Linked DNA regions of Xenopus tropicalis. The protein of the gene in region 2 purifies or fractionates together with the protein of the main gene of each other region. This does not show direct contact. Links are inferred from orthologs where the notes say so. Each region holds a gene or a part of one and is shown on either strand. Other genes may lie near its edges.

The links. Proteins that work in one complex are often made in the same cells at the same time.
Region 1: the proteins of nup107 (region 2) and nup43 purify together in Homo sapiens (affinity purification with mass spectrometry; 8 studies listed by BioGRID and IntAct, counting the BioPlex papers as one, with this or other methods). This does not show direct contact. The link is inferred for Xenopus tropicalis from reciprocal best matches to the Homo sapiens genes NUP107 and NUP43.

What each region holds. Positions count from the first base shown.
Region 1 is NC_030681.2:58,282,635-58,286,134, reverse strand, and holds part of nup43 (nucleoporin Nup43), read left to right. Parts: intron 1-2,441; coding exon 2,442-2,610; intron 2,611-3,500. UniProt on the Homo sapiens protein: Component of the Nup107-160 subcomplex of the nuclear pore complex (NPC). The Nup107-160 subcomplex is required for the assembly of a functional NPC.
Region 2 is NC_030679.2:58,822,675-58,826,632, forward strand, and holds the start of nup107 (nuclear pore complex protein Nup107), read left to right. Parts: upstream 1-1,158; 5' UTR 1,159-1,216; coding exon 1,217-1,314; intron 1,315-1,440; coding exon 1,441-1,532; intron 1,533-2,412; coding exon 2,413-2,493; intron 2,494-3,465; coding exon 3,466-3,581; intron 3,582-3,958. UniProt on the Homo sapiens protein: Plays a role in the nuclear pore complex (NPC) assembly and/or maintenance. Required for the assembly of peripheral proteins into the NPC. May anchor NUP62 to the NPC. Involved in nephrogenesis.

The DNA of each region.
Region 1 (3,500 bases), on a different chromosome or scaffold from region 2:
ATTGGTGTTTTCTTTAGAAACACTAGTATAGTGATAAACGGTTATATAGCTTAAAAAAAGTAACCTCTGTTGAGAACACATAACCACATCTCTACATCTGCAATAAGCTGCATAAGCTATTTGGCTCCAATCCACTTCCTCACCTTGTTCCATTATTAAGCTAGTGCCACATGTAGCTATTTCTCTGGCTGCATTTTAGTAAATCTGCTCCCATCCATGCAACTCCCTGTATGTGTCGGCTTTATGCACAAAAATGAGAGATTATGCATTTTTCCACTCCATGTGTTTGCACATAGGCCAATGCATTGCCTGTCAGGGCAGATACAAGTGTAAATGCATAAGTGTAGATCAGCTGAAAATCAGGTGGAGAAATAACCACGTTGCATTAGCTTAACAATGGACCTCAGGTCTCAGAATCCATTACATTTGTTTTCCTTAAAATTTTTGCACAACCCACAATGGAAGGCAAGTCTGAGAATCCATCACTTTACAGTGGAGCAAGGAGAGGCTTACATTACACTGTGAGCCTAAAGCTGGCCATACACGCACCGATACTATCGTACGAAACCTCGTTTCATACGATATTCGGTGCGTGTATGGCATGTCGGCGAGTCGACCGATATCGCAGGAAGCTGCTGATATCGGACGACTCGCCGATCGGCCAGGTTAGAAAATTGGCATGTTGGCGAGGCGCCATAGAAGGCGCCTGACCAAAGTCTGCCGTCAGGGCTGAATCGGCAGAAGGAGGTAGAAATCCTATTGTTTCTACCTTTTTATCTGCTGTTTCAGCCCTGACTGTGTGTGGCGGATCTGACAATGTTTCGTGCGACCATCGGTCAGATCGCCACGTGTATGGCCAGCTTAAGAGGAAGTTTAGAAAAGTTATGTGTAACATTGCTTCCTTTTAAACAGGCACATTTGATTTTCATAGTAGATAGTAGGAATGCAATGAATCTATTATTTTGGGATCTAGCCAAAACCCAAATCCTTTGTGAAAGATTCAGCTGAATACCAAATACCAAAACCAAATCCGAATCTTAATTAAACATTTCAATTTCTGTATTCATGTGACAAAAAATCATGTGATTTTAAGGATTCGGCGAGGCACATGCATTAGGCTGCTGAAAAAGGCAGAATCCTGAAGTGAAACCTGTTTTCGGTGCCTTACCTGTCAGATTGAGGACTGCATCTGCATATTGACCCGTCCCTTTATCCGACTATCTGCATAAAGGCCATTTGACCAAGCAATATTATCCTGATATTGCCCACCTCAAGGTGGCCATTTTGGTAAAAGATTCATCTGTTTAGTGATCCTCATGCATATGGGCAACATTGAGATAGCTGTAATGAATGATATTTGCCCTGTCTAATGGACAGTTGTTGAATAATGAGCTGTGCTATAGCTGGCCATACACAGTAATATTTTGGCAACAGGATACTGCTTCATACAGGACTGCTGGGAATCACTGTAAAGTTTATTTGTAGCAAAACATTGTTTACCTGGGTCAGCTTTTTGGGGGTTTTTTGGCCTTCTAAAGTATGTTTATTTCTGGTTGGATACTTTGAAGCATTTTACACATGTGGTTTCTGAAATTCCATAATGTTTGTAAAACAATGCATATTTGGTACTGACATGTTTGGCAATGGAGCCTATATACTGTGGTGCTGTGCTGCAGAAGTACATGAAAAAGGGGAAAAAAAAGTAAAAACATCCATTTTAGATTAAAGGTGGCCATACACGGGCAGGTTTAAGTTGCCGGTTCGAGTCCTTCAGACAAATCCAGCAGCTTGTCTACCTTAGGTGGACATATCGGGAGAAAGATCTGCTCGTTTGGCGACCTTGCCAAACGAGTAAATCTTAATATGTGTGGCCACCTTAAGTGTTGCATGTCAACCTTTAAATGATATGTAAACCCCTAAATAAAATTGTCTAATGAAAGAAAAAGTAATTTTATTTGTAAATGTGATTGCAATTGAAAGTGGTATTTTTTATCCCTTTGTGCTGCTAGTTTTGTATCTTAAAATAATGTAGCAGAAATCAGCCTTGTATTCTTCTTCACAGGTTTGTAAATTAGCTGGCTTCTGTTACATTGTTTCTAAAGTATAGAAATGGACAGACAGCTTTTGCTTTCAAAAGCAATTATATTTACAAATAACTTTGAAGACATTGATCATTTTATGTATAATTAAAAGCTGCTTAGAATTACATTCTTTCATTGAAAGCGTTCCAGTTCTGTATTTTGAACTCATTTTTCACATAGCCTAAGAATCCTTTCTAAACTTTACAATATTGTATCATGCAGTTCTTGCCCTAAGTTAGGTCCACTTCAGTTGTATTGAATTACAAATATTTCTAATCATTATTTATCGCAAAACTTGTCACTTTGCTCCCTGTAGTTCTATGCCTGTTGAAAGATTTTTTTTTTCTTCTATATATCGAGACTTTATCAGTAAACCAAAAGTGGGAACAGGCACATTATCATGTTGGATCAAACATGAGAGCTCCTTGCACTGGCATTGTATGTAGCAGTCCCGAAATCGTTTCTGTTGGGGAGGACGGCCGAATAAACTGTTTCCGTGCTGAGAGCAGAGATGTTGTGAGAACAATAGGTAGGTTTTTTTTTCCCTTGCACATATATAGGAGTTTTTTTTTTAACCTGTTTTTAGTGAAACAATATTTAGGAAGTTGATAGAAATAAGAAAAAGCATGTCAGAAGGGATAGACAGTTTTTAGATATATATTATAAACAGTCTGTATTATATACTTTAGATAGCAGAAAGACCTGTACATCTGTAGTGGATAAACCTTTAATAATTTGTTTTTTCTGATGAAGTAAGTATGAACTTCTTGCAGAAGATGTGGATGCTTGGATTTCGCCAACGCATTTTATACTGTTTTGCATAAATTATTGCTTTGGGTCTGCTTTCTATGCAGGCCAATAAATTCCATCCAGGAAGTATGCTCTTGGAAAGGGCTCTGGACAATCTGGGTGGCTTAGTGGCAGATGAAATTATGCTTTTGGAATTTAAAAATATACAATATACATAAATATTCAAATAATGAGAAATAGGCTGTAGGTGCAGAAACTGCTGCAGGTGCACTTTTATTGGCACAAGTGTGTTGTAGATAATAACTTGGTTGTAGCAAGCAATGCCAGTCAGCAGGTTGGAAGGGCCAACCATAGATATCAAACGGTAACAGCCCAACCTCCACTTGAATAATGTCATAGAATAAGGAACGATACAGATTGAACCATGGTCATACATTTGCAGATAACCTTAAGAATTTTTTAATAAACATTATGGTTACAACAGCAGCACATATTTAGTGGCTCTACTAAATATACTTGTGGGTGATGCTGTAGCCAAACCCCAGACTATTTATAACTTCTTAATTCAGATCCTGGTATATACAGTAGCAGTATCTCCATTGTACATATTTCTTTCATTTTATTTAATTTAATTGTTATTGATAGCTTGGCTGAGTGTACGAACCCCTG
Region 2 (3,958 bases):
CTCCCTTTATCAACTGCTGGACCCGCCCCTTGATTTTTGGCTCCAAACTTAAGCACACCTCCTCCCAGACTGCACTGGGACATCCAGCCAATCGAGTTCTCTGATCCCCTACACATGAATGCTACAGGTACTGCTTTTGCCAACTCCTGGTCTGGGATCTCTTACCCCCTGCCCCTGATGCTCCACCCCCACAAAGTCTGCACACCTTGCGCGCAGCACTTCCCCCCCTTCACAATGTCCACGTGCATTCATTCACAGATGGGGTTGCAGCGGGGGTGAGGTGGTCGGCCAGGTTGCCTAAAGGTGGCAATACAATTATGCAATTATGCTATTTCCTGCGACCACTTTCATTCAAAGCTGAATTGTCAGATATGGAGGTATCCAATCTACCGATTCAGCCTTTAACGTAGATTTTGCAGCCTTTGGGTTATTAGTTTATAAGGTTATTAGTCTCATCAATCGCCAGCTTAAAGCTTGGCCTGCCTCTAAGTCTTCTACTAAATCAGCCCTTAGTTTGCACAAAACCACCAGAACCCTCAAAGTACAAAAAAACCCCTAAAAACATGACCTCATTTCACTTGGCCCTAGTTTTCACAATAACTCTTCCCTTTTTGGTCAGACTGGGAGAAAAGGTTCTGACGGCAGCCGGTACCGTTAGCAACCAGGAAACTCTTTTTTAGCTCCCTGGCAATGACAAGGATCTCTGAGCAGAAAAGATAATTGACTTGGAGGAAATATTGAGATTCGAGGTGGAGGAGAGCAATCACCTCCTAAGAAGAGTCTTTTTTTTCCCTTTTTGTTCTCCAACAAAAGTAGGAAGTGCGAGCAGAACAAATCCAAGCTACTTATTAGCAGCTACCAATTGTGTAACGCCGCCTTACTGGGTAGCGCACTGTCTCTGCTCGTCACTCCCATAAGGCGGCTACGTGATGCGTCACGACGCTTGCGTGTAGTTGTACGTCACAGTCTCGCGTGAGGAGACATGTGGAGTCGGGATTTTCTGTAAGACAGGAGGCTAGGAGCTTGCAATTAACAGCTTTACGGGAGGAGTAAGTAGCAAAGGTGTAAGTAGCAATCTGCGGCTGCTGGCTGTGTTACGAAAATCGGGATCGACAAGCGGGACTGTTGGGTAGTATTCAGTTAGGGGTTAGTCAGGGTCCCTGCTGTCAGTACGCTGCACACTTTGAATGGGAGGGCGGGAGCTTACGGTACCTACATGTTCTCTCTCTGCAGCTTTCGGTACTTCTGGCTTATTCACAGAAGTTTTAGTCCCGTTCTATTGAGTAGACTGAAGGACTGTTCTCCCTCTAGCCTGTATGTATCGGTCTGCTAGACTTTTCTGTTACATGTTTGCAACCTTGTGTGCATCATAGCGGGACTTTCTCACAGAATACACATCGAACATAGGAAGGACTGACCCCGTGTTGTGCTCTCTTGCAGCAGGACCAGCATGGATATGCTTTCGCCGGTAGTGCGGGAGGCAGAGGTTTCTAGAGCAGCTCGCCGCCAAAGCTCCAACAGGAGGAATCCTGGTATCCTTTTGTAATGTGAACTATCATCACAAATCACTGGTGTCCCCAATAATATCAAACGGGAAGGCTTTTGATCAAACAAAAATGACATTGGAAGTTAACAGAAATTTTTGGTTGTCATTTATCTATTACTATAATTTCTTTGTGATTAGTGTTTATGTTTTGCATGTCATTTTTTTCTAAAATCAATGGAAGGGCCCCTCCTTTATTGAGTCCCCTTTGTTTTAAATGGTTAAGGCTTCATTTTTAAATCTGTGTTGATTAAATGTGATAGTATATTTAAGTTTGCAGTGTCTGAGTATTACTCTAATTAAGGAAATAACCCATCGTAGGAGTAGGTTGGGTGGGTTTTTATTAATATTAACAGGCTGTTTATGGACCACAGATGTTTGATAGCAGTACCTGCACCAAAAACACAGTAATAGGCCTTTTATTGTCTTTGATGGGTTAATTTAATAAATGCGTCTTGTCTTGTAATCCATAGGAGCCAATCAGCATGTAGCACTTACTGCTATGGGTTAATATGTGTGACCAAACTTAAGCCTTTATTACATTATCCTACATGTCTCTAAAGCAAATAACATGGTTAACCCTGTCTCTTAGGCATTCCCCGTCATGACTCCCTGACTTTTTGCCTTACATGAATGCAACAGAACCAGTATTGCACTTTTTTGTTCTTTTTTTGTTCTGAGGCTATGCATGGGCAATGCAATTACAGTGTAATAAGAAACGCAAACAACAATAATGATTAGTTACTTTAAGCTGGAAAGTCGGCTAATATTTTCCCGGTGCTTGCTTGTTTCCCTGGTACTGTTTAGAGAGGAAATATTGAACTGATTCCAGAAAAAGCTTTTGTTGCCACACTTAACGTCTTGCCTAGCTGATGAGAGCTGGAGCAATGCAACACCAGCAAGAGGCCCATTATCTCGCACAACAGGACAAACACTATTTCGACAGCACAGTAAGATGTTTATATATAAACTGGGTCTGCAGTTGATAATCATGGGCTTGTTTGATTCATCTTGTAGAAACTGTCCCACTGACTTGTGTTTTACAAATATCAGCATTCAGTCATGGTTATTATAAAATTCAGATGAGTTTGTATAGTAACCTGCTTGTGTAGACATTTTGGTTAAGGGCATTCTTGCTGTTTTGCCATTTCTTGATGATGATATTCCTATTCCTGTCTTGTGCTTCCTGTTAAGCTGAGAGCAGGCCAAATCTACCTGCCATGTTCTAATAAATATACCAAAAGTTCCAGTGTGTATCTGACTACTTTACCTGAACTAACACAGCCGCAGTATTAACCCACTGCTAGCCAGCAGTTTATTACAGTGGGGGCGAGGATGAGATTTATAATGCTGAGAGAGGGTCTCTCGAACTACAGCTCTGACAAAATCCTTAAGCCATATCTTGAAAAGAGAGATGAGCTTTCCATAGATCAAGGTTGTTTACTGTGGGGGATACGGGTTGTCATTCCCCCTAAAATATCGTCAGAGGCTCTTGCATGAACTTCACGAAGGCCATCCAGGTGTAAACAGGATGAAAGCACAAGCTTGTGGTTACCTGTGGTGGCCAGGCCTGGATCAAGATATAGAATTTTTTGTAAGTCAGTGTACTGCTTGTGCTTCTGTAACACGAGCTCGTGCTTTCATCCTGTTTACACCTGGATGGCCTTCGTGAAGTTCATGCAAGAGCCTCTGACGATATTTTGGGGGAATGACAACCCGTATCCCCCACAGTAAACAACCCTTATCTATGGAAAGCTCATCTCTCTTTTCAAAATATGGCTTAAGGATTTTGTCAGAGCTGCAGTTTATTACAGTTTGGATATAAGAAAAAAGTAATACTGAACATAGTATTTATGCTGTGAAAGTCTTTTTTTTTTTTTTTTGCTTTCTGGTATGTAAATGTACTTTTCACCTTTACCTAGTGACGCCACAAACCTGGAATTCTTCAAGGCCACCAGATGTTTCGGCAATACTGGGCACTGTAGGGCGATCACCTCGCTTGGTACAGACTCCTGGGCGTTTGGCAAACATGTCTATGGTAAGACAATCCATTCTACAGAAGGCATTAAGGCGGCACAACACAGGCAGATTTCAGCTGCCGATTCAGGTCCTTAAGGCCTTAGGGGCAGCTTATCTGCCCGTGTATGGGAACCCCCGACAAGCCTAGCCAACTGACATCTGGCCTAAAATTGTGCAGATTCCGACAGGTTTGATTTTTCCATTGGATGAACAAGCCGATGCGGTCCTCGGTCCGACGGCACTGTCTAATTGGCCCAATATTGCCCACCTAAGGTGGGTAATTGGAAGAAGATCCGCTCTTTTGGTGACCTTGCCAAACCAGTGAATCTTACAGTGTATGGCCACCTTTAGTCTTCAGTTTCTCTTTCATGTGATTTATCCTATACGTATTTTGTG